3 linked regions of the Rhinolophus ferrumequinum genome follow. The protein of the gene in region 3 purifies or fractionates together with the protein of the main gene of each other region. This does not show direct contact. Links are inferred from orthologs where the notes say so. Each region holds a gene or a part of one and is shown on either strand. Other genes may lie near its edges. The genes, in order: AIFM1, NDUFAF1 and NDUFS5.

Region 1 (11,328 bases), on a different chromosome or scaffold from region 3:
TGACCAAACATTTTGAAGAATTCTTTGCAAAGTTTTAGCCAGCTCCCATTTATTTCAGGTTGCTTAACACTAAATCAGTAACCTCGAATACCACAGACTAGCATTAGAATAGTACCTAAATCATCACCAAGTTCTTTTCTGTAGATTTTATAATCTCTTGTTTTCCCATGTTCCCAGAAGGCCTTTTCCAGAAATACATCCACACAATTGAGGCACCTCGGTTGCTCAAATGGTAAGTGGTCTACATGTTCTTAAGTCTTGTCTTCTGAATGCCAAACTGATTTTTCTGACATGGATAAAATACAGGACAGAACAAGCCTAGATGATCTGTTCACTGTAGCTAGGTACCTCTTTATAAGGAATCCAACAACTACTAAGCTTTACCAGCCTTTTTTTTTTCTTTTGTATCAACCCTTGCTGGAATTTTAGAGAATCAGAGCAGTAATAACTGTAGTAGAGTGTGAACCACTGTGAAAAAAGGCACCAGAGGAAAAACGATTTAGATGATGAAAAAAATAAATTTAACTGTTCTGCAAAGTTCAGTCCTGTACAGTACAAGGACTCAGTCACTGAGAATTTACCATGTGCCAGAGACTGTGCAAAACACTGAGGACACAAAAATAAATAGGGCATAATCTCTGTTCCCAGGTAGTGTATAGTTTAGGAGGGGAGAATGGCTGCCACTATTCTGAGTATCAGAAAATGGGCTCAATACAAATCATAAGAGACTCAAGGTCACTCAATTTGTTTTTTTAATCCTTAGGTCAGTGGAACAGAAGCAAAAGAGTCATTATTCATTCAAAACAGTATTTCCCAAACTTGCCTGATCACATGAACTACATCAAGGGGCTTGTTAAAATATAAAAACATATAAATTCCCAGATCTCTGTCTTGGAGATTCTCATTCAGTAGGTTTGGGGGAGGCCCTCCACTCGATTTATATGACCAGGCAACTTTTGGAAACATGATCTAGAAGAAAGTTACAATATGCAGCAACTCCCGTAAAATGGTAAAAAAAAAAAAAAAATATATAACATTAACTGGTCTAGAAAAGGCTGACTTGCTAAAAATTTTCTTCTGGAAAAGTTTGCCTCAGCAGAAAGAGTGGGGAAAGGCTAATCTTCTTGGCTTTTTAAAAAAAAAAAAAAAAAAAAAGAAAGAAAAAGCGTCATTTGGCAGTGTCCATGAATTCTGGATCTTTGCCCACAAGTAGTCCCATTTCCTATTTCCTATTTAAGGAGGTGAGAAGGATTTTGAATCGAGAAAAATGTTCCAACATTTGACCCTCAGGTCAGGGGTCAGTGATCAGCTTGATCACATGGGCAGCACGATGTTTGGTGACCAAATAAAATACTACAGAACAGAAAATACCTATTACCTAACCTATCTGTTCCTCAGTGCTGAATGCAGACATAAAGTGGTGACTATTAATTACCTTCAACTATTTCTGGAAAGAGGCAGAGCATCGAAATACAGTAAATAAACAAATAGTAGCAATTATGGTTTAAAAGCAAAAGGCAACATACCATGTTTCCTCGAAAATAAGACCTAGCTGGACAATCAGCTCTCATGCGTCTTTTGGAGCAAAAATTAATATAAGGCCCAGTCTTATGTTAGGTAAGATCCGGTCTTATATTATGTTAGATGAGAACCGGTCTTATATTATAGTAAAATAAGACTGAGTCTTATATTAATTTTTACTCCAAAAGACACATTAGAGCTGATTGTCCGGCTAGTTCTTATTTTGGGGGAAACACGGTATTATGGAAATGAACCTGACAGTGATGACAGATGTGGATGAGATCATTTCAAGGTAGGTTTAAAGTCAGCTAACATTCTGGCAAAGAATTGAGGGGGAAGAAGAAAAAAAGGAGGGAAATGGTATATAAACAAACAATGCAAAAACATATGGTAGATGTGATTATGTGAAAAAGAAATCAGATTAAAAGCAATTAGTAATCAAGCTGCAAAACGGGGTAAATTCCTAAAATGATAGAATCATTTCTTTTTGAAATTGTTACCTCAGTCCCACCTACTTCTAAAGGCATGTGATGTTATACTCTGGTGCTTGGCCAAAGGACAAAAAATAAGTGTATATAAAGGGATGAAAAGAGAGGTCAAGAAGTCAGAATATACTCTACAGCAGACTACCTTCGTACAAAGTCATGTAATGGAAAAAACCTGTTTTGAGTCTGTAATTTTTCAGTACTAGTTCCAATATCACCAACCACCTTCAAATGTCTAACAAATCAATTTAACTTTGGAAATCCAAATTTAATTGATGAGAACTTTCGGTCAGATTTCAGAATGCTGGTACAAGTTGTGAGTTTTAAGCAAAATAAGTACACAAAGTTTGAAAGGTCAGTGTGGATGAAAATCTTCAGCTTACCTAAGTTTCTATGTAAATTTCTGTGCAACGTGCATAGAGCACCCTCATTTCATTGCACAAAGCCCACACAGATGACGTTATAGACGGGGTATTCGTTTAAAAGGTAAGGCAGAGGTTTTTAAGTTCCAAGAGCAATATGTCTTAGGACATACCTCCAATACACCCATCAGAAAACATTTTCTTGAGGCACAGTAACTGGAAAAACTGTTCAAATGCACGTTTTCAAAGGTAACAATCTAAGTGAAATGTTTTCCACTTTTTCATTTTTAAAGCACCCAGAAGGTGGTTCCACATTGTAAAGGCCTCAAGGATAACTTCTGACACTGAAAATGTGAGTGTCCTCGGGTGGTCAAACATTACTGATTTAAAAACAAACAAACAAACAAAAACACAAAAAAACACACCTCCTTCGGGTGGATAATTCCTTACCCCCATGAAGTTGTGCAGGTTGAAAATGAGCATGCTCAAGATAAATTCAGATATCTGATGAGCAATAGGCTAAAGAGGAACCAGACTCATTCTTAACCTTTCGAGATCAAACTTTAGGAAGCAGTGTGGAGTTGTGGCAATTGGATTAGGGGCATAAAGACTGGCAAATTATCCTTTGCCATACCTATTAATTAGGTACATGACTGTGGACAAGTAATTTCACCTCTCTGCCTCAGTTTATTACCTATAAACTGAATGGGTTGAACTTTACTGCAAAACTACTTCCAGCTCTAAAATTTGATGAAACAACTTCATGGAGAGCAAATACAATGTGTTCTGCAAACTGTTTATTTGAAGTATTAAAGACCACTAAGATTAAAACTGACCAGACATCCCAAATTAATTCTGGGTCAGTTCTCCTGGTGACTGGTGCACAACCAATTGACTCCTTACTTGCACTTCACTGTTTCTGTTTCCCGGGGCATTCACAGGGTCCTCAAATCTATGGATCTCATCTGGGGATTGGAAGGTAGGGCAAGTAATACCCCTTATTTACAGAATAAACTAAAGCGTGGGGCTTAAGTGTCCCATTTAAAGTCTCACAACCGGTAAATGGCAAGTCCACCTAACCTCATTGATTGAAAAAGGCGGACCTGGGGTGACCTGGAGGTGGCAATGGACACTACTAGACAGCCAGCTGTTCTGTTATCCCTGAACAGCAAACCCTCTCAGGAAAAGGCCTCAAGCCGACTACAGGGTTCAATTCCCTTGAAGGTCAGGTCAGCACGGCTTGGAAAACTCATGGTTTGGATCTGGCCAACTCAAAATTCTCACCACTGTGTCTTAAGCTTTTCTTGGGGGGGGGGGGTGTGAGCTGCGAGGCATACGGAGCCTGTGCAGCCCAGACCCTTGGTCTTCGAGGTGGGGGTTGTCCCGGATGGGTCAGTCACCTGGGAGCCGGTTCCTCTGCCTCGGGCCTGGCACGCACACTGTCCGCACCAAGGGTGCCAGCCTCTGCTTCAAAGCACCCGTCGCCAGGCCTCCACACCGGAACATTTCGGCAACCGCTACTCCGTACCTCCTCCTTCCTTTCTTCTCACGCACCGACACACGGGTCAAACGCCGTGGGCCCCCGGCCGCTTCCCCTGCTCCCGTCACACGCACTCTACGAAGGCTCCTCCTCCCAGCTTGGCGTGGGCATTGGACAGTTAAGCCGGCCTACTAGTGCAGAGGAAAAGGAAGCGCGACCGGAGGCCTACTGCGCAGGCGTAGTACTCAGCGCCACATTGTGATTGGCCCACACGGAGAGAAGATTTGCGCATGCGCCTAGCTTCCTGCACCCTTGCAAAGTCCCTGGGCTTGCTTGTTAGTTTTCACGGGTTGGTGGCAGTATGTTCGGCTCAGCGACTTTGAAAAGCTGTCCAAGGAGGGACCCGTGGGGCTGATTTGCCTGGCTGTTTGTGGCGAGTGCTGCCGCTGTGTCGATGTTGGGAACTGATATTAATAGCACCTCAAAAAGCGTGGCCTCAGCACCAAATTTTGTTTTTCTGTTTTAGGCCACTAGCTACTACTAAGTACTAAGCCTTCCGGATTCTCTCTCTAGCTGTAGTCCACTTCCAGTCTTTCCATAGATTTGAGCCGGGGCTCCTGGCTTTCCAGATTCGGATTGGACTTCCGTCTTTTACAAATTGCCTTCCCATCCAACCCCTATTCTGGGCACTTTACCACTATTCTGGGGCATGTCTTCATTCCGCGCTCTCTTTTCCCATACCGCTTTTATATTGTGTAATTCTGAGTCCTAAGTGCTGTATCAGATGCTGTGGATAGTCTCTTGCTATTTTATTATGACTTCGTTTTTTGAGAGCAGGTGCTGGCAAAAAGCGTTCGTGCTTCACAGACTTTCTGCGAGAGAAAGCCTAAGCAGGACTTTCAGAGTTGTGGGAGGAGTAGGGTGCGGGGCTGAGTGTAAATAGGGGTTTTGGCTATCAAATATAAGCTAAATTGGAAATAAATTTTGGCTGTATGCAAAACATAACATATGCCTTTTTCAAAGTTTTGGTTTACATACTCACTTAACAAGTATTTATTGAGCACTTGCCATTTGGACTATATGAAAAGAGCTCTAGGGGATACGAAAAATATAGGAAGTGGTCACTGTCCAGGTGGGGAGATGACATACACTGGTCATTTTAAATAATAATATCTGATGTAGTGCAAGAGCAAGAAAAAAGAATATGAGATGAAATAGCTAAGGAAGGACTTCAAGCAAGAAGTATTACTTGAGCCTGTCTTGAAGGATGAGTAGTGAAATTCAAATAATGGAGGAGGAGAAATGATATTTCAGATGGTGAATACATTGGGACCGAAGGTAATATTTTTAGTGATTAAACACCATTGATTTTGGATCCAGTCTGCCCCAGGTTGAATCCTGGCTCTGCCACTTGGACAAGTCACTTAACGGTGTCTCACTTTCCTCATCTACCAATCTCACAGGGTTGATAAGAAAATTAAATGAGCTAATATTCATAAATAAAGCATCTTAGAGGAAGCACCATGCTGTTTAAATCAAAAGGCTTGGAAGTATAAAAGAAACAAAACCCAGCTCATTTTCAGGAGACAATGGCAGAGAGTACATACTAGGAAGTAAATGAGGACAGGTTAATATGGTGGAGCCAGATTTGAACTAGCCAAAGTGTTTGGCCGCAATCGTGTAGGTGATGACATTATTTTTGGCTTTCAGTAGAATAGGGATAGAGAACGAAATTACTAAGGCATTTCAGGAAGTTTAACCCAGAAAGCAGTCTTTACTCGGTGAAAATGATCCAGGGATCCCTTGCTCATTAAGAGTAATGTTCAGAAGTGCAGGCAGTGGGCAACTTTTCCCCTAGGGCTGCATTGGGGAATAAATATTGAAAATGTCAATTCCACAATAAGGTAAAAAAAATATTTATATTTAGTATTTTAAAAGTTTCACAGATGTTGATATTTCTTGCTATTTCTAAAAGCCAATAATAAACATGGATTGATTAAATAAAAAGTTAATCATATCTGTTGGTGGATGAGGCTTTGGAAAACACTGTCAAAATTATGATGATAAGGTACCTATGAAAACAACTGGGTAAATTTGAAAGACAGTCAATTGTGCATTTAATGATGCACAATTAACAAAGAAAAGGCATTGTACAGCACTTTTAACTTATTTTTGCAATAGGTGCAATGAGGTAGATTTCTTGTCCTTTTAATTAAAAATTATATTTCATCTTTTTTTGTAAAAGCAATATACACACATCAAAAACTAACTCCAAAAATATAAGTGGAAGTTCCCCAAAATCTCATCCCACAGAGGTAACAAACACTTTTTATTAGGAAATGGGGCCCACTTTGAGATATCAAGTCTCCAGAAATTAGTGTTTCTATCTTACAAATATAATGTGAACTCTCAGACTCAGTGATGAGTTTTTTGCTGGAAGCATATGCGGTCTGACAATTAAGTTCGCGAACTCATCCTAGAAAAAGTGCTACATACCTCATTGCTGAATATCACTATGGTCACCTTCGAAGTACTCCCCGTGGGAAGCTATGCACCCGACACCAGCGTCTAGTCCACCCTTCAAAGCAATTTTGGAACTCATTTTCTAGAATGGCCATCAGAGCTGTCCTCGTATTACCCTTGATGTCCTGAATGTCATCAAAATGTCTTCCTTTCCATATTTCCTTTATCTTTGGGTAAAAAAAGTAGTCATTGGGGGCCAGATCAGGTAAGTAGAGAGGGTGTTCCAATACAGTGATTTGTTTACTAGCTAAAAACTCCCTCATAGACAGTGTGCTGTGAGCTGGTGCATTGTGGTGATGTAAGAGCCTTGAGTTGTTGGCGAAAAGTTCAGGTTGTCTAACTTTTTCACGCAGCCTTTTCAGCACTTCCCGATAGTAAACTTGGTTAACTGTCCAGCTGGTACAAATTCATAATGTATTCATAAATAAAATAAAAAAATGTTAGCAACATCGTTGCAATAAGTTCACAAACTTAATTGTAAACCTAGTACATCTAAATAATCTTATGTGAATATAGTTTTTTTATATTAGAAAGTTAGCATTAAGTCTGGCTATAAATTGGCAAAGCTTCTTTCCGCTCTACCTGTTGGATATGCCTAATTCATAGTTACCTGCCCCCCTTTTAATAGCTGCTCTTCTGTAGATAATGATTACCAGGAGCATTAGCTTCAAATACAGACGACAATGATGCTGCAAACTATTATCTAGACATCAACCAATCATAAAAAACAAAAATACTGTACAATGGTGATTGCCATTCCCACTGTATAATGATAATTGGTATTCATAATGATGACCTTGGATTATCCAACTAAGATTAAATCCTTCTTGAGATGGTTTTAATATTGAATAGCATGATCTAGGGTTTTAGAAATGGGTAACCCACATATATGCTAAAAGAGTTAGCTATAAATATATCTGCTAACTCAACTAAAAAGCTTACCCTGTTTCCCCGAAAATAAGACTTAGTCAGACAATCAGCTCTAATGCGTCCTTTGGAGCAAAAATTAAAATAGGTCTTATGTTAATTTTTGCTCCAAAAGACACATTAGAGCTGATTGTCCGAGTAGGTCTTATTTTCGGGGAAACACTGTATAACTAGAAGACCCCATTTCCCCAGCCATTCTGAGTAACTTGGACTGGGCTGAGCAGTCATATTCCACTTTGTTTACAGACCTATCACTGATGCACTGAATTGTTTTTCTCACAGTGGGAATGGATTTAGTTATGTTTGTCTCTTCTGCAGCTGAGCCCCACACAAGTAAGATGGCAGCTCATGTGTCTTGCTGGAGTCCCTGACCTTGATGACATTAGCAAATAACTCATGTCAGTGCTACTGGCATATGTTAATATTACCTTAGCCTATGAAATATGTGGAAGGATGGTTCAAGTCTTAAAGCAAACACGAAAGTGGTGCACTTTATTGTGTGGAAATTGTACCTCAGTCAAGTTATTTTAAAGAAATTGTGAACCTGCAAATCACATTTGGGAAAGGGAATACTGGTCTTGACCAAGATGTGTGATGCTTAATAAGCTTGGGGAAGCTGCTCCCCACTACCAGAAGAAAGTTCTGTTCATTTATCATTTTCCAAGCATAATTTAGGCTTTTAACAAATTAGACCCAACCACTTTGTTCTACATTCAGTTGCAGAGGGGTGAACCCTCCTAGGGGTTTCCAATTCCTTTTGAAACTCCACCATTCTGGAAGGACTTATGATTACATGGAGGGCTCTGGAATGCAAGACGCTGTGAGATTTATGCCTTGTCCCAAGAGCCCTCCACCTGGGCTTGGAATGGTTAGCCCCAGAAACAAAGTCCCCTTTTGCTGGAGCTGCCACCACTAGCTTCCCCGCTTCTCCTACCCCCTGTATGGCTCCCTCCGGTGGCCGGCCTTCCCCATTGGCCAGTCAAACACAACTGACTGCCGCAGCCAATGGGAGCCGCTCTTCTGAACATTCAGAAGATGGGTGTTCCTGGTGTGATGAGGGAAGGTTGGCGCCTGGCACGCACCCCCCCACACACACATCTGGCAAGTCTGTGAGAGAAACAGTAACTCCCCCTACACATGCACACCGGTGCCCTGCAGCGTGTATTGGCGGCGCCCTCCCTGGCTCCTCGCGCGCGCGAGTGCACCTGCTTCCTCAATAAAACAGAGCATCCCTTTATCCCAAGGCTTGGGAGGAAGCTGCAGAGGCTCAGCTCAGCTGCCTGCAGCTCTGGAGGTGTCTCCTCCCCGCACCCAGTCCCCGCCGAGTAAAGTGGTGTTGCTCCGAGGCTGAAATGCTCCAGAGCGGACCCCCGTGCGCTCCGAGAAAATGGGGGTGGGGAGCCTGAGATCTATAAAATAAATGGGGTCATGGAGAAAGGAGGACCATCCCGGGGTGGTGTGTGCCGCTCTCCCCACCCTCCTTTCCTCTGTAAGCTTCCTCTTTGTGGTGTGTCCCTGGGGTCCAGACAGGGGAGGGTCTAGGCCAAGGCGCCACGGCAGCTGCAGCGGTGGAGGCGGGGTCGCACGCCCCACCCGCCCCTCCGAGGGCAAGGCTGAAGGAGAGGGCTCGTGCCTTGCAGTCTCTCTTCCATCTCTCCTCCCCTGACTGGCTTTTGTGTTGGTGCCTCCGAGCTGCGAGGAGGGTGCACTGGAGGAGGAGGAGGAGGAGGAAGAGGAGGAGGGGGACCTGGGGTGAAAGGCACCCCACGCGCGCGCGCGCGCACGGGGACGGCGCACGCACACACGCGCGGACACACTCACGGACACGCACACACACGCACAAAGCTCGCTCGCCTGGAGCGCACTAACGTGGCCGTTTTCTTTGTGTGGAGCCCACCAGGAGGGTTGGGGCCCCGGTCCGGTCCCTGGGAGATGGCGCAGCCCATCCTGGGCCATGGGAGCCTGCAGCCCACCTCGGCAGCTAGCCTGGCATCCCTGGAGCTTGACTCGTCGCTGGACCAGTACGTGCAGATTCGCATCTTCAAAATCATCGTTATTGGTGACTCCAACGTGGGCAAGACCTGCCTGACCTTCCGCTTCTGTGGGGGGACCTTCCCGGACAAGACTGAGGCCACCATCGGTGTGGACTTCAGGGAGAAGACCGTAGAAATCGAGGGCGAGAAGATCAAGGTGATCCAGACGGTCAGGTCCGGGAAGGGAGGGCTCTGGGAGGGGTCCTCGCCTGACGCATGCTCTAGTGGTTGTGAACGGTCTGGTCAGGTTCGTGGCTGCGTCGCTGCTTGCTGAGCCCTAGACCCTCAGCACCTCCTCATCCTCTTTCGCCTTTCTCAGCGGCCTGGTTCCCACCTTGCCCGTTTTTTTTTAGGGCAGGCCGGAGAGGGTGCATTCATGCCCTCTGTCCCTGCCTGACAGCTCCTGCCAGGAAAAGCATGTGAGATCCCATCCTTGACCCTGAGCCAGGAGCAGCGGCACCTGTGGGCAGAGGGAGGTATGAGGTAACCTGGTCCTGCTCTGTGGGGTGGATCCCAAAGCACTTTACACATCTTGAGGTCTCTTCTTCCTCTTGGGTGCCAATAGGGTGCAAAAACCCACTTTGGTTAAGCCCTGAGACATTACAGGGGAGGAAAGAATGGAAATCCACAGAGAATTACAGTTTATGGCTAAGATTATGGCTGAGCTGGAATAGGGGTGGAGTGGGGTGGTTCTGGCACAAAGTCATGAGCCCTTTTAAAGAAATTGAGACAGGGTCACCTGCCAGCCCTCCATAATAGACAAAACTTATTCTTTTGGAACAGTCCCCCTCAAATGATATCTTCTTTATTTGTCTGGGGTACCTAATGCCATTATTCATTCTATTGGTATTGTCTTCAGCAGGCCTTTGTAAAAATGCAGAGCAACTTCTCTGAGGGCCAAGGGAAGTAAGTGTCTTGCTCCTACCCTCTCGTTAGTTTGTGAGATCAGCTAAGTACAGATATTCTTGTCTGACCATTTGTACTCACTTTCAGTTCATCAACAGTGCAAACTCGATAGGACCAGGATATTTCAATGTGCAGAGGCTAGCGGGAGGGGGGACATGACAAGGGCAGCTTAATGTGTCAGGGGAACAGAGAGAGGCAGGGTTATGGGCAGGAAAGTCACTTCAAAAGACAGGGCACTAAAGACCAACTCCACTAGACCCACAACAGGCCTTTTCTTGAGCCTATGGTCAGACCCTGTCCTGCAAAGGTAAACCTCCCTCCTGCTGGTCAAACAGCTCAAATGACCACAGGCGTGAGGTGGAGAGAAGGGCTGAGTAACTGGGGAGAATGTGGAACATTGTAAACTGTACAGACTCCTTGATTATTAAAATGAACATGTTTTAAAATGGCTTCAGAAACCTGGCCAAGGCACTAGATATGTCAGGAAGATGGGCATTGCAGTACTGGTAAGGGAAAGTTCTCGAGAACAACGAAACCCCAGGGTCAGGAATATAGGACACTGTTTTGAAATAGTGATATTTCTTGCCTCTTACATTTTGGGGGGAATTCCTACATTTTCTTTTTAAAGTCAAAGTAAGTATCTGTCTTTTCTCCTTTCCCAGGGTTTTATGTTGACATTTCCTTGGTTAGAACTTTCTCTAGGGTGTCTAGCTTCTTTACGTAAAGTTGTAAGATTCTGGAATTTCTAAAGCATCCAAAGTAGAAATATACTTACGGCTGTGCTCTTAAGCACTCAAGACCCTTAAAATTTAATGCTATTGCCTGTTTAAAATCAAGTTTCACATTGAGCCAAACAGCTCTCTGGATTTAAGAGGGGAAATGAGTCCACCTGAAATGTACAGGGAGGAAAAAGGAAGTGTTTGGGAGTCTGGGGGAGAAGGAAGCTAGAAACTGGACAATGGGAGGTGAAAAACGAGTGGAAGAGGGTCATCACCCAGTGACCTCAGGGGAATTTTTAAAAGGTTCCTTCCCTTCCAACAGCCCAGTACCTAGCCAAACTGGATTTTGTAGTCTCTGCCAAAGATTCTGGA
Region 2 (10,961 bases), on a different chromosome or scaffold from region 3:
TAAATTCCTTTTTCCTCAATTAACCTGTGTTGGGTTTATATCACTTGCAACCAATAGGTCCTAATTGATACATTGACTGCACCTATTCAGAACACACCTTAAATCCCATGTTCTCCTTAAAAGCTTTCCCTAATACATCCATCTCAAATGATACTCTCCTTCTGACAGCCAGTATCTATTCTTTATGCTATACACTGACACTAAATTATGTTCAAATGAAAACTAGATTATAAACATGACTAAACTGCTCATTCGTCATTTTGTGTGTACAAGCCTTTTTCTCTTCAACAGGAAGATAAAAACCTTGAAGGTACTGATTTTATTATATCCTTTAAACTACATACGTTCTACAATAACCTGCACAAATTTAGACACAGAATGGGGACTGCCTCCAGAGTCCGAACAAAGGACAATTTCATGCAAACTTTTAGGTAGGGCTGTAGTGATACAGGCCAGCAAAGAATATTGTAATAGTTCAGGCAAGAAGCTAATATGATTCAGCAGTTTCATATCTTGATGGAGTCCCTTCAGAGTTTAAGGATGATCAGGGTATGATCCTGGCAAAGGAAATAAATGGTTTCAGAAAAGGAAATTACCTCATGGGAATTTGGGGTCATGGTGGTGTCACTATAGATCCAGGGTTAGTTCTCTGCTGTCAGTCCAGTAACTTGATTGTATCTGTTTTACTCAGAGGATTACTCAGATTCATTCATGCCAAGCAACTTTACAGGAGGAGACATGACAAACCAGAATGACCATTCATTCACCTACAAGAGAAAATGGGCCTGATTTGAGATCCAAGGCCATTTATCCAGGACAGTCCCTCCTGATGGGGAAGCCCACCCTGCAATCCAGACTAGGAAGTAATGAGGGTCAACTACTTAGAGCTGGCAGTGTTCAAGCAGATTTTCCATTAAACAAAATGAATTGTATACCCATATTTGGGGATATTTCTATCTGCAGTGTTGAGGCCAGATATTTTTAATGACACTTTAATAAATATCTGGACACAGACATATTCTTTTCCTTTGACTCATCTTAGTGGACTCCAGGCAGGTAAACCCCAATCCATCCCCCACCAATATGTGGGCTATAAAGGCCTGGCCATTTCAGCCCAAATGTGGGACAACTCTGACCATCTATTTTAGCTTCAGAGTACCCACGTGATCAGTTGACTCTGTAGTCAGGTATGCACTATCTCTCCCTTCCACAGTTGTCAACCCCATGGACACTCCCTGATAAGCATTCTGCACACTAAACTCCATCTCAGAGTCTGCTTCTTGGAGCACCCAACCTGCCACAAGAGTGGTCTGAGAAAGGAGGTAATAAAATAATGTTTAGAAGCTGGGTTACCCAGCACACAGCTAGCAATGAAGATCTGATGGTCCAGTTGTTAAATATTGCATTGTTGGTGAATAGGGATAGTATGCTGGTGGAAAGGAAGGTACCAGCTGGTGGGATGGTATTTTAAAAATATGGGGGTGGGGCATAGGAACTATGATAGTAGAATTGGCTGACTGTTACTGAAAGCCAAGTATGAAAGCCGGAGGGCCTCCTTAATTGCATATGAAGAGGGCTTCAACACCTGCAGTGGGATGGCAGGGGAAACTGAGGCCCTGGACAATGATCAGAATAGTCTGAGCTCTAATAAGGTTTTACTTCCAAGCCAGGCAGGTCATCTAAGCCAAGGCCCTAGTTGGGAAATAATGGGACCAGACAGACATTTGGGTTGGGGTTATGATTGATGCCACTGAAGATCTTGAATGATCACCCTCCTGAGCCCTCTGAACCTGCAGAAATGGCTCACCATGCAGCTCTCCCATCTTGCTATTAGACAGTGCAGAGGCCTGTACCAAATAAGACCGCATCTGCCTTTACCTCCCTCCTGGATAGGCCAATAACTAGTATTAAAACATTACATAACCCAGTGGGGGACAGATTGAACCTGATAAGGGAGGAAAGGGACTATACCCTAAAGGTGCTGCAAGAACTAGCTAAGCACATAATAGCAAAAGCTGGAAGAGTAGCAAAACACTGGATTCTGAGAGTGCTTAATTAAGGGGACCAAATTGTAAAATTGGATTAAGGAGTGTTTATTGATTGGGAGCACTCTCCTGGGCCACAGAAATTATCACTCTGCTGAGGACCCAGGAAATGGTGCAGATTTGCTACTAGAATGACTCTTAAAGCATGGAAAACTCTACAGCCCACATGAAGTTAAAAAAAAAAAAAAGCCAGAGTTGCCAAAGCACATGGTGTAGGACGGGATTGAAAAGCTGAGAAGTACAAAGTGGATCTACTATATAAGATCAGAAATCCCCCCAAATGATTGTTCCATGGGAAGACCAACAGGATATTCCATTTACCAAGGCCATCAGGAATGTGAAGGTAAAAGGTGCACAGGCATCCCTGAAAGTTCAGTAGTGGTTCTCCTATGTAGGACAGGACTGACAGTAGAAGTTGTTACAAAACTCAGCTAACCACAGTCATGGGGTGACAGGACCTTGACACAGGCGGTCAGGTGGCAGCACTTAACTGCCAGAAGCCAGGTAGATGCAATTATTATGAGTGGAGAGCTCAGAAAGACAACCAAGGAGGCCTGACCCTCAGAGAATTATGGAGATGGTTAACAGAACATAGCATCCCCAAGGACAAAATAGATGGATAGCCAAGGGTGCTCTCCAACTTTGAATCAGGAGAAATCAAAGTTGGCTGATCAGGGGGCTGAGGGCAGTTGCCCCAATAAAAAGTGATCATCCTTTGTCCACTCTCAGATCTGACCCAGTTTTCAGACTCTGAACCAATTAATAGAGATAATCAGGTCATCAAAAGGAGGACCCTGCCTCACAGAAGGGCACCCGGCTTCAGGGTGGCTAGAAATGGGGGAGCTGGCCTGGTCGTTTTGGATCATCTTGGCCATGTTCTCAGTTCCAAGGATATTGTTTTGGGAGAGAAGTCTAGGGGTTATATCTTAGGAAAACTCCTTTGGAGTAAAAAGATAGCTGCGCCTTATTTAGGTTGTTTTTTCTACCTGAATGATGAACACCTATTCAAGATAACTGGTAGCGAACTGGATACCTAGGTATGTATTTATTTCCCCAGGAGTTTCTCTATGTATGATGCGATATTTTCTTTTATTACTATTTTAAGGCATGCACATTTGTGATATGTATTGTAAACCTGCTGGAGAAAATATAATTTACACAGTAAAGGGGGAAAAGAAAAAAGGAGCCAGAGACCAAGAACTCTGGGCCTGATTTGAGATCAGCCCGCCTGTGCCCAGTAATGCCTAGGAGAGACTGGGGTCTAACTCCCAAGTTCATTACCAGAATAAAGAATTAATGGACTCCAAAGTTTTGAGAACAGTTTCAAGTTGTTATTGCTTATGCTCTCTACCCTGTATTCCAAATCCCAGAGAGAAATCACTTCTGGAGCTGCCCTTTTTATGAGCTGACCTCAAGCTCAACAGGCATAAAACTGAACTTATTTCCCACATACATCCACTTCCTAAACCTCTCCTCCACCTGTGTTCTTTGTCTCAGCCAAGGGCCCACTGACCACCAGCTTCCTATGGCAGAATCTGAGTGTCATTTGTGTCTGGGAGCTCACCTTATCCCTCTCCCAACTAATCTCCAAGTCCTGGTAATTCTACATTCCGAATTATCCATCCACTTCTATTTCCACTGCTTCTTCCTTAGTTCAGGACACCATCATCTCTTGTTAAAATGACACCAACAGCCTCAATGGTCTCCCTGCCCTTAGTCTTCCCCCCTTCTAATGCGTTTGCCACACTACAGGCAGAGTAATCTTTTTAAAACACAAATCTAATTATGTTCTTCAGTTTTAAATCTCTCAATACTTTCTAATATAGCTTATTAGGCTCTGAATGATGTGGCCACCGTGTCCCTCCGCAGCCTTATCCCCACACACCATGTCATCTGTTCCGCCATAATGAACTTTCAGTTCCCTGAACCCAACTTTTATCGCTGGGCCTTTGCCCACGCGGTTTTCTGCTTGGTACAACTTTCCCTTTACTTTTCTTTTGGGTAACTCAGATGCATTCTTCAAGTCCCAGCTCAGTTGTCACTTGCACCACCGAGATACGAAAGCTTCTCCCATCCTCCATCCCTTGGGGCGGTCTAGGCGACTTGTGTCTTCCAGGAGGGCAGCTCTCGTCGTCCTCCACACTCCATCAGTATCGGACAGTTGAAAAGCTCCTCAGAGCGGACCCGGATGCTTACGTCTCCAGTCCAAGACATAGGTAGGCAGCCCACTAAGCTTCGGCCCCGCAGCAGAGACACACCCAAGCCTTCCAGAGGCCCTCGCGGGGAAAGAGAAAGTGGTCCGCTACCGGGAACCCAGCCCGGTGCTGGGCCCCGCCTCCCACGCTGCGTCGGGGGCGGAGCAGGGCGGGGCGCCGAGCGCCAGCGAACGGCGTGCGCCGGGAGGGGGCGGGGCCAGGGGCGGAGCGGACCGCGCATGCGCGGTCGCCTTTGTGTGGGTCGAGCGGCGGTGGCGGCGGCAGTGGCGGTCCCACTGGCAGGCGGGCTAGAGGGGAGTCCGGGCGGCGTCCGGCGTGGGAGCCGGGGGACCACCATGGTGAAGAAGCGGAAAGGCCGCGTGGTGATCGACTCCGATACGGAGGACAGCGGCAGCGACGAGAACCTGGATCAGGTGAGGGCAGGCCGCGGAGGCGCGGGCCGGCGGAGCGGGAGGGCTGAGTCCGGGCCACGGGAACCGGGAGCCGGCCGGGCCCGGGGCCTCCCGACCCGAGTGCCTAGCCAGCCCCGTTCCCTGACCGCCGCTGCTGCCTCCTTCCTATCCTCCCTGCATCTCCCGGGACCCATGGAGTCCCGCCGGGGCCTGGAGATTGAGCCCCGAGGACTTGGCGCCTTGGGCGGGGAGGCGGGGCAGGGACCTGGCTGGTGGGCCTCGGGTTCGGGTTCGGGGGATCGGAAGGGTCCGTCATCTACCGGGACCAGATTGGTGCGGCGGGCTGCAGGCCAAACGATCCGGGCCGGGAAAGGTAGGAAGTATCGCCGGCCAACCTGAGAGGCTGGGAGGTTTTGGAGGAGGTGCAAGGGGTGAGCGTGGGGCTTTGGGGTTTGGGGGGGGTAGGTGACGAGAAGGTGCGGACTCTGGAAGATGAAGTTTTTCAGACAAGGAGTGTGGACGGAGAGGAGGGGCATTCGTAAATGTTCCGGAGACCCTCTGCGGTGCTTAGCGAGGAAGACTTAGCTGCGGGCACGAATCTTTTTGGCAACTAGGGTCGTTCGTGGTTGAGAAGGGTCCCTGATGAGATATCAGACTGAAGAAAACTCTTAGAAGAAGGAAAGAGGTCAGAAGTGGAGCAGTACATAGGGCGATATGGAAGGACTGAGACTAAGATCTCTTAGCCGTTTTCATGCAGCATCCCAGAATTCTTTCTTACTTGAAGATTGTGCAGGAAGTGTAGAAAGTAACTTTTGGTCTCAATGTCCTGGGGGGGTTGCTTGAACTGTTTATATACTCTAGAAAAGCACTGTAGGGAGGAAGCTGTCTTTGTAGTAATGCTCTAGTGATGCAAAAAAGGGTTTTCCCCTGTGTTTTGTGAACAAATGATACAAAGAATATACAAGAGTAGTAGCTTTGTAAGTTGCGTAGGGAGAGTACTGAACTTGGAATCTGAAAATTTGAGTTTTAGGATGGGCTATGCTGTTTTCTAGCTATATCTTTGGTCGTAACTGTAAAATCTAGGTATAACATTAGCCTTGTATATCTATCAATAATTGTGCTATCGTTAGGATCAAGTATTTGTACGTAAGAATGTTGGTACAAGCAGTTGCAAATAAAGCTTTTGTGTAGTGGCTTCCTGGGCGTCATTTGTATTAGGCCAGAGGTCTTAAGACTAAAATATTGGGGCATGGAAGGGGAGGACTTTAAGAGGAGGGGCTGGAGGTGTGTTGAAGAGGGTTATTTTGAAAATGATGGTATGGGGTGGGGAAGTCATGGGGCCTTTGGAGAAGTATCAAAGGGATAGAAATCTTGTTTGGGGATACGATTGAAAGGTAAGTTAAAAATATTCTCAATGAAAGGCTCTTGAAATTTGCAAAAATATAAAAAATATATATTCTTGACTGTAAAAGTTTGGTTGATAATTTTAGACTGACACTTAGGAGAATTAGAACTTTTTTGTTTTTGACTATTTTCTGATCTAGAAATGTAGTTATTTCCGATAATGACATCGGCTACAATTTACATAGTGCCTAGGGTGAACTAGTCACTTAATTAGGTGCTTTATTTAAATTGTCAAGTTTTCAAATTATGAAGTTAAGTATGATTTTCCCCATTTTATATATGAGGAAAATGGAGATTGAAGAAGTAACTTATCAAATTTACACAACTTGTAATTGGTAGAGTTGGAATTTGAACCCAAATCTGCACAACAACAAGGCGTATGTACTCTTTCCAATTAATCTGTTAGTCTTTTACTTTTTCATATTGCAAAATGAGAATGTGTATTATGGCCATTTTCCGTGTTGCTAGAATTCATGTTTGTAAAGTACATTGAATAGTTTAGAGAAAATTGGTACATCAATTATAAAGATTATTTGGGGGGCTTTCTTGGTAAAGCACTGTCAAGATGTCGGTTCTGATGATGAATGAAATAAGCAGATTATTCTGTCCTTAGTGATTTTCCACAGAATTCTGACAAATGAAATGAGTTGAGAGCTTCCTTTTGTGGTAGAGAGATCCACAAAGAGCTTTTCCAAAGTTAAGAATTGGAGGGGATTGCAACTTTAAACCCAACTCTATTTGTAAAAAGAAATTAGCATGAAATGTGTAAGTAATACCTAATACATTTTAACAGCAATTTCAACTTCCTCCTCTTCAACCACTCATTGTCATTCTTTTATCAGATGGGAACCAGATCAAAATTCTCTTTCCCTGCACATCTTAACAGAGTGCCTTCAATCTACCTGTCTGTTCAACACTGTGCCAGGCTGTCAGAGGAATCAGAGAAAAATCTCTGCCCTCTAGAAGTTTTCACTAGAAATCTTTAGCAGAAGTTCAGTCAGCCTGCTTTGGGGGTCTTTAAGAATCCTGAGAACAAAACGAATGCATTCTGGGCCTTTCCTGACCAAGGTGCCTTGGACTGCTCCATCTAGTTCTAGGTCTTCATTTGGGATTATAGCATCGTATTTGTTGTCTAGTGTATTGTACTTGGGGAAAAGAACAAACCATGACAACTCTCTGAGTGTCTAGGGTGAGAGTGGAACATAGGAGGTCCTTTATCCCTGGGTTTTCCCGATGGGAATCTAAGCCATTATGTCAGAAGTATTATCATCAACTTAGTCCTTGCTGAAGGTGAGGCAGGTGAGTCTTCTACAGTGGTTTTTTTCTGGTGGTGGGAGGAGGGCCACCTGTGTGAGAAGCTACCTGGGTTGCTTATTTAAAATGTACTTTGCAGGGGCTCCCATCCCAGACCTACTGAATCAGATCCTCAGGGGATAGAGCCCTGGACTCTGCATTTTTACCAGGTACAGCCCAGGTACTTATTATGTTAATGCTTGAGACCACCTCTGATGCTGATCTTTTTAGCAGGACACTCTTAAGTAGTTTGGGAGAGAAATAACTTCGTGTCTTGAAGTGTGTGCAGGTATAACTGAAAGAAATTAACAGAGATGTTTAAGGTGGCAAAGCTGGTGGTTCTTCTAGATCTCTGAAGCTGTTTGAATTGTTGGATGCTTTTTATTGAGGCCTGTTTTTTGTATTTTTTTTTTGCCTTGCTTCTTGATGGGAAGAGGTATGTAGTAACTAAATCAGAGTTGTTTAAAATCTGTTTTAACTTTCGGTGCTTTTAAAAGCTCAAACCTTTGAGAATTCGAAGAATTTCTTTTAACATGTGACCTGATAGTGACTTTACTTTTTATGTTGGCCACACCCTTTCTTCAACATTTTAAAATTGCAAATCATGAAGATACTTGCCTTTGGCACCTCTTGGAAAAAAACAAAACAGAATTTGAGGGAAACCTAGGCTTTTTACCCCATCATGTGCCTCCATGGAGATAATATGTGTCACTCTTTATGAAATAATATTTATGCAGTGGGTTCTAGAAAATGAAAAGCATCCAAGATAATAAAGGAATCAGAGTTCTCTATTCAGAGTGATAAAGTTCAGTATTTATGAAAACTTTACTCTGCCTTTTTCAAGGAAAAAAATTGAGCTACATACATATTGGATTACTTGAGTTTATTTCTTTTCTTATTTTAAATGATGCTTATGTTGTCATGTCCTGTTTTTCTCTGCTCATCCTACTTGAAGTGGCAATGGTTAAATTTATCTTTGAGAGAATAGGCCCCCTAAGTACTTTTTAGGAATTATTTTTAGATATTACATGTAAAAAAGTATCATTGTTACAAAGTATCCTTCCATAAACCTTCCCCATTCAAGTTGGGAAATTTAAAATTGTGTTTCTCATTAACACAGTCTTTTTTACAGTAAAGTTTAGGGCGAACTTGTGAGAAATATCAGGGTTGGCTTGTGAAGTTTTTAGTTTGTGTCATAATGTTTCATCTAACTTGATGTAACTCACTTGGTAATTTCACTCAACTTTTCTTTGAAAATAGTGCCGAGAAGATTGAGTCTCAGGGGAGCTTTAACAGAGAATCTCTTAGGAAAAATTCAAAACCCATCTTCTGACACCAGTTCTGTTGGTGTACTTACTGCTCCCCTCCTAGACTGTAAGTTCCCCAAGGGCAGAGATTGTTTCTCTTCCAACAAATGTGTTACACAGTGCCAGGCACTAGGGCTCCTGTGAACAAAGTAGAAACAGTTTCCACCTTCAGGGAGTTTAGAGGGAAATAAAGGAGGGGCATGAGAGGAGGGCGGAGCAGGGGCCAGCATTGCTCAGAGGGTCATTTCACTACAGACTGTGTGAAGGAAGAGCCAGGATACTGAGTGTGGCATCCTATTATATACGAGCCTTTGGGAGTGACATGTGAACTGAGACATGGAATACGTGTCAGGGAAAAGGAGAGCCAGAGATCGAAGAGTCCAGGGAAGTGTTGAGTGTTCATGGTTGAGGGACCAGCATGTACAGAAATATTGAGGCAGGAAGGACTTAGCACCCGCATGAAACTGAAAGAAGCAGTGATGAAAATATAACTAATTGGAGAGAGAGTGGTGCAAATGAAGCTGCAGAAGTAGTCTGTTTGGACCCTTTGAGTTTAGTGGATCACAGCCAGCATTAAAAATAGAAATGAAATTGAATCAAATAGAAAGCATCAAGTGTGTCAGACCTCATAGTAAGTATTGTTTTGTGAAATTGGTGTTTCATGTATATGCATGTACATGTACACTGAGTCATGAGGTATAATTGAGCTTACTGTCTCCGGAGGTTAAAAGGTTCAGAACCACAGGCAGGGCCATGTTGGCAATTGTAAGGACTTTAGACTTCATTCCGAGAGCAATGAGAAACCATTGAAGGATTTTGAGCTGGAAGAGGTGTTAAGATTTGCCTTTTAACAAGTTTGCTCAGGCTGCTATGTGGGTAGTAATCTGGAGGGGGACACCAGTTAGGTGGCGGATGGATAGAAGAGTCCAGGTGAGAGAAGGTTGACAGCATAAGCTCCACTAGATTGGAAGCTCCAGAAGGGAAGGGCTGTTTGTTCACCGTACTATCTCTGCACCTAGAACCGTGCCTGGCATGCAGCACACAGTATTTGCTGAATGAATGCCTGACGTGAATCGGTATGGTAGTTACAGAGACAACAGAAAGTAGATTTGGACATAATATTCAGGATATATAACTGAGAGGACTTGATGACTGATTGGAGTTGGGGTGAGGATGAGGAGGTTCTGGCGTGAAAGAGGGAGCCCTCGAGGAAGGTCAGGTTTAAAGGTGACAATCTTGAGTTCAGTATTAGATGTGTAGAGTTTAAAGTTGTCTGTGAGATAATCCAAGTGGCGACATCAGGTAGGTAGTTGAAAATAATGCATGCCTGACACACAGTAGGCACTTAATAAATCTTTGTTGAATAAGCAGATGCTACTTAGCAAACGCTGCTTACCAAGTTTTCTAGCCTGGTCACAAAAGGATCACCTACAGAGATAAGGACCATTGTCAGTTTGGGGGTTCTTGCTGCAGGGCCTCTGCTATAATGATGATTTCCCTTTAAGGAATGGAAATCTGCATTAGTTAGAAAGTGTATTGGGAGAGAGAACTAAGTAAAAACAAGTTAGCAGTAGAACTTCTTTAAACTTTTATGTACCTTTTGTTTTGGATGGTTGAAAACAGGTTTTATTTTGTCAATTCTGTAAAATTATGGGCATTTATGTAACTCAGTATTTTATCTACAACTATAATTATTTTGCTGGAAACTTGAAGGGAAAGTTGCCATATTTAGTGCCAATAATGTAAAGGATTGTTATGCTGCCTCTTTGGGATTATTACTTTAGAAGGATTTTCATGTTTATGCTCATTGTTTTGATTTTTCTTTTTTTATATTATAAAAACAGTACATTCTTATTGAAACAGTCCCTACAAAAAACAGAAATACCTCTTTGTCCCCTCAAAACCACGTATACATTGGTTCCATTCCTTACTCCTGAAAACTGACTAATGTCCACTGTTGGAGTCATGGACTTCTACCAACAGTTTTGGTGTGAAAGAATAGGAATTAACACCTCATATTTAAACCCCCGTGAATTACTGCACTTTTCCTCAGCAGCTCTTCAGTCCTCCCACCTCTGTCTGTCCCTGTGGCTATTTACCTTGCCCAGGTCACCATCCATTCTGGAGACGTTGCTGTGGATTCCTTCTGACTCCTCTCTGCATGTCCACCCTGGCCCCTCTGGGATCAGGATAGTCTTTTACAAACCCTCAGGGGATGGTTACTCCCCTGCTTAAAACCATTTGATGGCTCCCAACTGCCTTCAAATAAAAGCCAGGCTCCTGATCCTGCTCTAGAAACCTCGG
Region 3 (10,577 bases):
AATTACCCAAACTTGGCATTTTTTAGCTTTCGATTTCACAGACCTTATAATAAACACACACAATCTCTTTGCTGCCTCTCCCTCCCAGCCCAAGTCTGTGCTTTATGGAAAATAAACCAAAAGCAAAGCATTAAAAATACTGCACCTTCTTAAATGAGTTCCCATATTTAAAGTACCTCATATACATTAAGCATTCATTAAATGCTGCTTATTATTCCCTAGATGCTAATTTTTAAGGCTTAGGTACAGGCCTTTTTCCAAACTTAAAAAATAAGTTGCAATCTCATTATAGAAAAGCATGATACAAGAGAACATAGAACAAATAGGATGGAACAATCCTTTATTGTCAGACACTTTCACAAAGAGTTTGTCCGTACATTACTTTTCCAGTGGAGAAGACCAGATGTGAAATCAGCCTCCAGCCATCAGCAACTCCTCTGTTCAGGGCCTGGGATCCTCCTTGCCCTGGTGGTGGGGGGGAGGCGTATACTTCCCCTCCTTTATTAGCTTATCCCGCTGCCTCATGATGGCACTAAGACGTTTCATCTGCCAAAGGAGAAAAGTATTTTAACTAGGGGGAGATATGCACCAGAAAGTGAGGGCTGGAGGAACTGAAGGGAAACCGCTTTCATTTTTAAACTGTAGAAGCTTTTCATCTTAGCGGGCCTCTGAGATGAAGGCCGTCTTTAAAGAATTAACTTGAAATCACTTCCTAAGCTTTTAACAAATAAATTTCTGGTGTATATAATATCTCCTTGAAATGTAATAACTAAAATGTTCCAATTATATATAAGAATACAAGTATTTACAAAAACAGTAACAAAAAGATACAGGTTAAAAACCTTTAAGATGCATACTTGTGCATACTAAAATCTTTGAAAATATTAAAAGCTGAGATCATCTCACAGCGTATATATTCCTCGTGACTGTTCAATAGTATGAATGAAGCAGAAATAGCCAATGTAAGGTCTCTTTTATCTCACTGAAATACCGTGTCTCCGCGAAAATAAGACCTAGCCAGACAACCAACTTTAATGCGACTTTTGGAGCAAAAATTAATATAAGACCCGGTCTTATATTACATTATATTATATAAGACCCGGTCTTATATATAGTATAATAACATACTTATAATAAAATAAGACCGGGTCTTATATAAGACCGGGTCTTAAGTCTCTGCTCAAATGTGTTGTCGCTTGTCTTCTTTGACCACCCTATTTAAAAGAGCATCTACTTAGCTCCCACGCCCCGTACTTCCTATCCTTTTCCTGTTGCTTTTCCCCATTGCACTTGTCAACATCTGACACACTATTTTTTAACCTGTTTGTTAATTTTCTGCACCCCACCCTACACCCATATAAATTCCATCAGGGCAGGAACTTTTTGCTGTTTTTCTTACTGGTATACTCCTGGTACCTAGAATAGTTCCTGATAATAATAGGTGATTCAATTAACATTTTTTTTTAGTGAATGACTAAGTTTTCACAAAAACATGAAGAGCTAGTGTATTCAGTTAAATATTCCATTAACCTTAAAGAATTAGGATATAACTTCCGAAGAAAAAACTCCAGATATCCTAAATACTAACATAAACATTTACTATTTTTAAAAGACTGCATTCTTAACTTTTCTCTATTAAAAAGTTTCCCAACAGAGGAATAGTCATGGTTGAGATATCACAACACCATATATCAAATCTTTCTCCAAACTAGAACTAATCACCACTTAATGTTACATTATAGGTATATATGCACAGGCTCTGGAGCCAGCATTGCCAGGTTCAAATCCCAGTTCCACCACTTACTAGCTAGAAGACCTTAGGCAATGGCATTAATTTTTCCTTGCCTTAAGTTTTTATAATAGTTGTATATGGGGAAAATAATAGTAAAATATCTCACAGGATTGTTGTGAGAAATAAATACATTATTACATGCTAGGCACTTAGAGTGGCGGTTGATTCTAATTCCCCGATTTCACTAGCTTCTTCACCGATGGAGAATTATCTAGTCATTTAGAGTGACCTCTAAAACAGTAACATTTCTATTCATAAATTCACAGGATGAGGAAACGACCTTGGAACAACTCCTTAATATTTCCAAATAAGGAAACCAAGACAAAGAAGTGATTTGTCCAAAGTCGCAAAACTAGTAGTGGCAAAACTGGCATCAAAAGCCAGCTCTCCTAACTCCCAATCCAAAGTTCTTTCCACCTCACCACACTGCCTCCTCACAGGATGAGGAAACGACCTTGGAACAACTCCTTAATATTTCCAAATAAGGAAACCAAGACAAAGAAGTGATTTGTCCAAAGTCGCAAAACTAGTAGTGGCAAAACTGGCATCAAAAGCCAGCTCTCCTAACTCCCAATCCAAAGTTCTTTCCACCTCACCACACTGCCTCCTCTTGGTGTGAATTTCCCATCATGAGTAAAGTCTTAATCTGAGCAAGGAATAACGGGCTCACAAGAAGAGAAGTTAAAACATGTCGTGGACTAAATAGCCGGTAGGTGGCCAGCCATGACCGACTTGTCCTATGAGATACATTATACTATATTACTCACTTAATGGTCAATATTCCAGTAGCAATCAATACAAAAGTATTACCTGGCACCCTCTCCTTCCTTCCAAGTTTGGCTTCACTTTATCCAAATGCCAAGAGCAGATGTTAAAAGATAAGAAATTTTAAATTTTGATATAGATAACTTTGTGATAAATTTAACTGATAATCTAAATTGTCTCCCTTAACTCCAAGGAATTAGGAGTAATAAAAACATTTCTATTTGTTTTTCTGGTGCAGAGAAACAGGCAAAACGACACCCCACACCCAAAAATGACTTCTCTAAGGGAGAATAGGGCCCCATATGTTAGACAACTCACTCAACTCTTGAAGAGGTAGACACCATGCTCTTAACATTCTCTTCCCCCTGCATTTTTGGTTAGACTCGCCTAAGGCAATCTAATCTCATTAATAACTAAGATTGTTATGTCAGGTTCAATGTAAATAGACCTGTAGGGTTTTAATGTCTTCCTCAAAAGGGTTCAATGACTCTGAAAGATTTTTACCCAAAGATTTTCAAGGACAAACATCCCACACTGGTTGATATTTTTTGCTTTATGGCCGACTGCAAAAACAGAAACAGACACACATATGTAATTTCTTGCCTGATGGCTAAAGCAAGGTACAATGCTAAGGAAAATATGTGAGAAGATGAGGAAGAACACTGAGCAACAACAGGTTCTCCTCACAACTAAAGGCACTTAACTTCCTTGACAAGGTACCTACTTAGAGGTGTTTTACCACAAGTCTTGCCAATTCACATTGGGCAAGTCACTGCCCAATGACCAACTAAAAACACTGAAAAGTAGCCCCAAAGAAATAAGGAAGTAATTCAGCTCCCATCTCCATCACTTCCTCACCGTTTTCTGCCGAAGCAGACATTCTACAAAATCATCATACTCTAACTTGCACTCTTTCTCTGCGCGGATAACACCAATTCCATGTGAACATTCTATCCATTCTTTTTCAAAAGCATGGCACCGAGATGAAAGCTTGTGTGGCTGCTCAGCACTCTGGATTGTCATCCAGCGGTCTAAGTCAACACCCAGCCTTTTCTGTATATCAAAGAAAGGCATGGCTGAAATGGAAAATAAGAAAGATAATGTCATAAAAGTGCAGTCAAATAAGAAATTTCCAAGAAAAAATGAGATGATTATAATTTGCCCTCTAGAAAGATATTTTACATTATTCTCCGAATTTCTTCTCACCAAACTTTTTCATTAGACAGCTTCTTCCAGTTTATGGTAGAGGAACAATTTTGTGCTTTCACAAAACCCAAGGAAAAGAGAACCAGAACTTAAAAACAATGCATAAAAATCCTCTCTATACTGATAAAGTCATTTTTATCAAAAGTCAAAAAGAACGTTTATGTTTTGACTCAATAATACCAATTCTTAGAGACAGATCTGAAGAAATAACTGAAAAGAACAAAAATAGCATAAGCACAGAAACATTTCTTTCCATATTTCTATCCATATCACTTAGATGACACCTCTCCTGAGAAGTCATCCCTCCTGTATGTTAGCACATCATTCTCAACTTCCCATGGGAGTATTTCGCACTCCACTGTAATGGACTATTTACTTGAATGTTTCCCACACTGAACAATGTGAGGGCAGGGACCAGGTAGGGATTCAGTAATTATTGAAAAATATTAATTTCAAACAACTTAAACGTGCAACAATGGATAGTTAAATCCAGTACCTACTTTGTAGAATATGACAGCTATTGGGGTAAAAGGATAATATACATTTTTAATGTCACATGAAGAAAAGGACTACAAAAGTAAAGAAAAACTGCAAAAGACTGGGAGGAAGCACACAAAAAATGCCAATAATTACGTATGAATGGTAGATTTACAGGTGAATTTCACTTTTAAACTTTCTACCATTCGTTCAGTCATTTACTGAGTAATAACGTTCCTGGCACTGGAATGGAGAGAAAGAAGCAGTTGCAAAGTACCGGAATAAAGATACACAGCGAATTAGGAACCCGAAGGAAGGAACACGACGGGGTTTAAGAGCTCAAAGGAGGAAACACCAACTCTGCCCAGGAAACTTGAAAATGCCTTTTAAGATGGCTTAAATTTGCCTAGTAAGCAAAGTATTTGCCCAGTAGGGCACAGCACGAGTTACAGCAGGAGGTGCTGGGTACGTTTGGGGAATAATGACCCAGACTTGGCTGGAGCGCAGAGTGCATGTCGAGAAGAACGAAATGAGCTGAAGCTGTGGGCAGGGCCGAAATCACGCAGGGCCTTGAAAGCCGGGTTAAGGAGCGTGGGCTTCAGGTTAAGTAACAGAAGGCCAAAGCATTAGACTGGCAGAAATCGAAATTAGCCTGGAAAGAGAACCGAGAAAGGTGCGGTCTACAGGCTTCGGTGACATTGGCTGTGTGGGCAAAGGGGCCTGGGAAAACGGAAAACACGGCCAGAGTTCGGGCCGGGGAGAACGGACGCCCAGCAATCCAAGAGGAAATTTGTTAAAGAAATCTCGGAAGGAAGCTCCTTAAGCTGCATTGCCCCGCGGACAAACGCAAGCCTTACCGTCCAGCCGCGGTGCCCTAGTCTCCTCGCCGGCCGCCGCTACTGGATGATCTGCTTGCGACACGGAGACTTGCCGCAAAGGACGCCCGCAGCGCGACACTTGCAGCGCGACGCCGGGAGTAGACCTTCCTTTTGCCGCCTCGCCCCGGAAACCATAGGGAACTAAACCCATCGGTCTGCGCTTGCGCGACTGTGTGCGCTGACCTCTGGAGTATTGACCGTAGATAAACTGACCTTCTTCTCCGCGTTAGAGGCGGCCTAGCCGTTAGTGAGTTCCTGTTGCCTCCTCGCACTGTACCTAGCACTCTCACAACTTTGATTCATGAAGGACGTGACCAAGTCCATACGAGAGAAAAAAGTGTCCCCCCCGCCCCTCCAGTAGTGGTTAATCTCATGGACTGTGGACCCACGCCGGGTGGGTTCAAATTATGGCTTCGCCACTTCTGGGTGATCCTGGGAAAGTTTAACCTCACTGTGCCTCAGTTTCCTCATCTTAAGATTTTAAAAGATAATAATAGTACCTACAGCCGAAGGTTGCTTTTGGGGATTAAATGTTATGTGTAAAGCACCAAGACGGTTCCTGGAATGTGGAAAGCATGAGGCAGTGGCCGTACTTTGATGTCTCAGCTTCAACAGTTTGCGGATTGGTTAAAGTGACCCTCCTGTTTCAGCACCTCCAGTGCTTCCCTTTGACTACAGCGGGGCCAAGTGGTGTGTGTGTGTGTGTGTGCGCGCGCGCGCGCGCGCGCGCGCACCATTGGGTGTGACAATACACACTGGGCATATGGGAAGAAAATACTAGAATATTTCTATTTTTTATCCAATCTTAATTTCTACTTTTTGTGTGGTTTATAAAGTACATAACATCACCGCAGTTGTATTTAATAAATATTTATTTGAGGTTTGGGATGAAAATTTATTTTCCTTTTAAGTGATGTGCTCTCAAAAACGTTTAGAGAAGTCCACTCTTCCAACTTCCCAGGCTCACTGTCCAAAATCCCGACTAATGCCCAAACAAGAGCTTGTTCCAATGTATTCCAAGAAAAGTCCTGCCATCCAGTCTCTTTGATTTTTTAATTCCTTTCCCAGGGAACCACACCATTTCAACCCTATCTCCATTTTTGCCTGCCAAATTATCTGCATAGGTTTGGCCCAAAGGGGTTAACTGCCCCCGAAGTCCCAGAATCACCCACTCTGAAGAGTATTTCTAAGGTCCCACAACTTACTGATTTCGCTCAAGCATTCCAATTTTCTCTTCCGTTCTCCGTTAGATATACCCCACCTTTGATAAGTTTCAGTTCAACTAGAATTTCCTGAGCATCTAATGCATGTCCAGCAGAACACTGGAGGCTTATGGAATTGCTAACTCAAGGCCCTAGCCCACAAAATACTAGAGGTAGCAAGGTATTGATCACAACCACCCTTTGCACTTCTCCCACTTTCTTGCTTATGTTCGAGGTACCATCTTCCCAGCCATTCAGGCAGGAAACTCGGTGAAGTTGTATTTTACCTTTTCCTCATCTTTCATCCAATATTTACTGACCAAGTTCTCTCAAATATTCCTTCAACAGTTTCTAATTTATTTCCTTTCTGCCTCCCAGCTCCTCACTTCAGTCTGGTTTGCACTAACTAATCTTCCTAAAATACTAATTTCATTGTATCACTCCTCAGATACCAGGCAGGATAGGTAAGTACAAAGATGGGCCACTCAGATGCCTCCAAAGGCCAAACAGAGCTCACTATAAGGAAATGAAAACAAAAGCACCATGATAAATGGCAACTGGTACTTGGCATCAGTTTGATGGATGGAAGGAGTGGTGGGGAATGTGATAAAATGGGCATATGTCCTCGAAGGCAGCAGCAGCTACTCAGCTCCATACTATTACTGTTGACAGAATCAGGGCCCCAAAGTGTCAAATCTTCAGATTTTTCAAAAGAAGCCAGAAATCTTTTGTTACTGTTTAAATGTGAGACCTCCCACTTTTAAAATGTGACGCAACTAATTTTTTGAAAAGTGCTGGCCAAACAAAACCCACATTGGAAACGGCCTTTGAGCTGCCCAATTTCAACCCTTGGATGGAAGGAAAATTGGAGGTAGGGGAAGCAATTTACTGTGAACTCTGATGGCTTTTTACATCCAGCCTTGCTCCCTTCTTACCCACTCTATTGTTGCGGGTTGCTTTTCTAAAACTCACATCTGATCATTCCAAAAACACTCAGTTTTTATCACACTCCATGACCCTTGGCGATGAAGACACAGTCAGAATACTGTTGGAAGTGATAAAATACAGACGAACAAAACAAGGGAAAACACAAAGAAGGGGGTCATTTATACTGCTCAGGTTGTGTGTAAGGTGTCAGTGTATCCAAGGAAAGGTCCCCGTTCTTGGGTTTGGAATTCAAGACCCTTCATAATCTGATTTCTGCCCATTTCTGAATCCTTAGATCCCATTGCTTACCAGTCCCTATTTAACCTCCGTGTGTTCTCAGCCATCCAGAATTGCTCTCATGCTTCCAAACTCTGTAGGTGCAGGTTTTTCTGCCTGGAATGATCCCGCCAGTTCGCTGCCACCTCCCCACAGTCTCCAAGGTGAATGTCTAATCCGTGGACTATTTATCACATTTTCTGGTTAAAGCTTCCCGAATTTCACAGGCATTTACTAGGGCTTTCTTGAGGTCCTGCCCGCCCTGTAAGTTTCTATTATATTCTGTTGCTACACCGATCATGCGTCGAGTCCCATGTCAGCACTGGTGTGACGGATGTGGGGGACAGGTCTTTCTCTACCGCAAATAGTGGGCAACAATTCCCAGAGACCCATGCCAGACTGAGTCTGCGCCGTTGCCATAGTGACTACGGGCGGAGGGGGGGCACACACTAGGATTGGCCCACTGGGATTTTGCTTACCTCTCAACCTTAAGGGCGTGTTGTCCCCTCTGCACCTCCCACCCCCGTTTACCTTTACTTTGCAGATCCTTTGATTTGCGGAAGTGTGATTTCACAACAAAATTAAAGGACTTTATGCGCTAAGAGGCAAGGCTGAGCTGTTGCTTCTTCCACTCTGTATTCGGGAAAACCGAGGCTCCGAGACCTGGTGGAACCTGACTAGGTGAGCTGTTCTTCCCAAATAGCCATCTTCCCATCTTCAAAGCACAAGGTGGCTGGAAGACCTAACTGAAGGCCCCCATTCCCATCCCTCTGAACACTAGCCTCAAGGGCTGCGTGAGCACAAGTTGTGGACAGTCACAGGCTGTCTAAAGTCCCCCTAGGTCTCCATTCATGGGGCTTCTGTCCTTGACCTATAGGATTTCCTTATGTTTGCATACCTCTTACTACAATTTAGCACACTGGGAACTTTAGGCCTGTATCTGACACCACTGCCACATAGATTTTAATAAACTAGCACATTTGGGGAAGACAGTAAGTTTGGACACTTCCCTCAACCTTCACCTCCAAGCCTGGAGCTGTAAGACAGAGGCAATAAAGCCAATAAGCAAAGTAACCTGAAAAAGTAATGGGTCTCAAGGCCTAGAATGTAATGGAAACCAGAGTGATCATTTAAACTAAAAAAAGAACATGGGGGCGGGTGGGTGGCTCAGTTGGTTAGAGCCCAAGCTCTGGGCTACAGGGCTGCCGGTTCGATTCCCACATAGGCAAGCGAGCTGCGCCCTCTGAAACTAGAATGAAGTCAATTAGTTGCCTTTGAGCTCCTGGATGGCTCAGTTGATTGGAGCACAGGCTCTCAACTAACAAGGTTGCCGGTTCGACTCCCACAAGGAATGGTGGGCTGTGTCCCCTGCAACTAATGGCAACTGGACCTGAGTTGCACCCTCCACAACTAAGATTGAAAGGATAACAACTTGACAATTGAAAGGACAACTTGACTTGGATGGAGCTGATGAGTCCTGGGAAAAACACACTATTCCACCCCACACGCCCCCACCCCACTCCCACAAAAAAGTCCTGGAAATACACATGTTCCCCAATAAAGTCCTGTTCCCCATACCCAATAAAATCTTAAAAAAAAAAAAAAAGTTGCTGAAAAGACAAAAAGTGCCATTTGGAGGTGGAGAAATGTCAAGTTGAAGATGCAACAGAACCAGGAACCACTGAAGCAAACTGAAGTGGGGAGGAAGGCTGTGCCAGGCTCATAGTGGCAGTTAACCCCCCTCATTCTGATACGTGGAGGTGCCTCTTGACTTTAATTAGGTGTCCCAAGTGGTACGGTTACATGAAGAGAACATGCTGTTAAGGCCAGTGGGGCAGTCTACTGCAGCTGATACATTTCTCATACATTAACACATTGGAGTCTGGTTTTATAGGTCAATAGCTTTATTAGTGAGTCAGTCTTCCTGAGTACAGATCAGGGTAATTAAACTACCTGGAGGGAACCTGCCAGGGCAGCTGAGTAGCCTTCCCCAGGAAACACCCTGCTCGCTCGCTCTCCAGATGCACAGAACACTTATCAAAGCAAGTTTTATCACATTTCTGCCCATAGACTTTGAACTTCTCTAGGGTAAGGACTGCATCTCTCTTACCCTGGTTAGACAACTTGCAGAAGCCTTAAAATTACTTGATCTGAGAGTTAAGGGAAAGAGTTTCAAGTAGTGCACTGATGACTGGAAAAGGAGAAGAGTAGCCACATAATTCATTTAGTCACTCATCATTTAGGAACCAACAGAGAGACAGATAATAGCTCAAATATTGTGTATAGTATCATCTTCCACTATGAAGATGCACAGTATAGTGGAATAATCATATAGACATATAAATGCTTTACACAGCTTTTTAAGAAAGGCATAATATGAAGTACTGTGTAAATACTGCACCTCCTCAGAAAGCTTTCTTACAATTTAGGCATCTAGTTACTCCCTATCATTACAATTTTTTTTACAGTACTTTTAAATCTTGGATTAACCTATTTACTAGTTTGCTTGTCTTACCTCACAAGAATGTAAGTACCACAAGAGCAGGGACCTTGTCTGTCCAGCTCAGTGGTATGGTCCTAAAGCCCACAACAGTATGTGGCAAATAGTATGTCTCAATACACATTTATCAAATGAATAGGTAACTCTGCCTTGAAGGGACAAAGGATTTAATTCCAGGCAGAGGAACAATAGGAGCACCATGAAAAGTGATGGGTTGAATTGGCAAAGACAAACCAAACCAAAAGAAAAAGAATCTTTGAAAGTGTGCCTATGGGAAGAGGGAAGCTGAAACTAGAAAGATTCTTCAATGGCCATGCTCTTCTTAGCCAGGGCCATGTTTAATCATCCTTTCCAATCAATGTACAGGCTGGACAAAGCAGCTCTTTACTGGTCAACTTGTCACCAGTTTGGTACTTGCCCTTCTTATCCCTGCATTAGTTTCCCCAAAACTGTCCAGATTCCTACAAAGGACCAAATTCCTAGCAGTCAACGCCCTTCATTATCTAGCCCCTACTAACTAGTTTCAAGTTCTGTTTCCAGGATACATGAGTTTT

What was found.
Region 1: the proteins of NDUFS5 (region 3) and AIFM1 purify together in Homo sapiens (affinity purification with mass spectrometry; 3 studies listed by BioGRID and IntAct, with this or other methods). This does not show direct contact. The link is inferred for Rhinolophus ferrumequinum from reciprocal best matches to the Homo sapiens genes NDUFS5 and AIFM1.
Region 2: the proteins of NDUFS5 (region 3) and NDUFAF1 purify together in Homo sapiens (co-immunoprecipitation; 3 studies listed by BioGRID and IntAct, with this or other methods). This does not show direct contact. The link is inferred for Rhinolophus ferrumequinum from reciprocal best matches to the Homo sapiens genes NDUFS5 and NDUFAF1.

The regions. Positions count from the first base shown.
Region 1 is NC_046284.1:25,858,284-25,869,611, reverse strand, and holds the start of AIFM1 (apoptosis-inducing factor 1, mitochondrial), read right to left. Parts: upstream 4,060-11,328; 5' UTR 3,875-4,059; coding exon 3,769-3,874; intron 1-3,768. Other genes in the region: RAB33A (ras-related protein Rab-33A), read left to right, coding at 9,231-9,500. UniProt on the Homo sapiens protein: Functions both as NADH oxidoreductase and as regulator of apoptosis.
Region 2 is NC_046289.1:63,889,660-63,900,620, reverse strand, and holds the start of NDUFAF1 (complex I intermediate-associated protein 30, mitochondrial), read right to left. Parts: upstream 4,322-10,961; 5' UTR 3,931-4,321; intron 768-3,930; 5' UTR 597-767; intron 1-596. Other genes in the region: RNA polymerase-associated protein RTF1 homolog, read left to right, coding at 4,480-4,674. UniProt on the Homo sapiens protein: As part of the MCIA complex, involved in the assembly of the mitochondrial complex I.
Region 3 is NC_046292.1:27,320,908-27,331,484, reverse strand, and holds NDUFS5 (NADH dehydrogenase [ubiquinone] iron-sulfur protein 5), read right to left. Parts: upstream 5,256-10,577; 5' UTR 5,098-5,255; intron 3,634-5,097; 5' UTR 3,632-3,633; coding exon 3,416-3,631; intron 547-3,415; coding exon 442-546; 3' UTR 324-441; downstream 1-323. UniProt on the Homo sapiens protein: Accessory subunit of the mitochondrial membrane respiratory chain NADH dehydrogenase (Complex I), that is believed not to be involved in catalysis. Complex I functions in the transfer of electrons from NADH to the respiratory chain.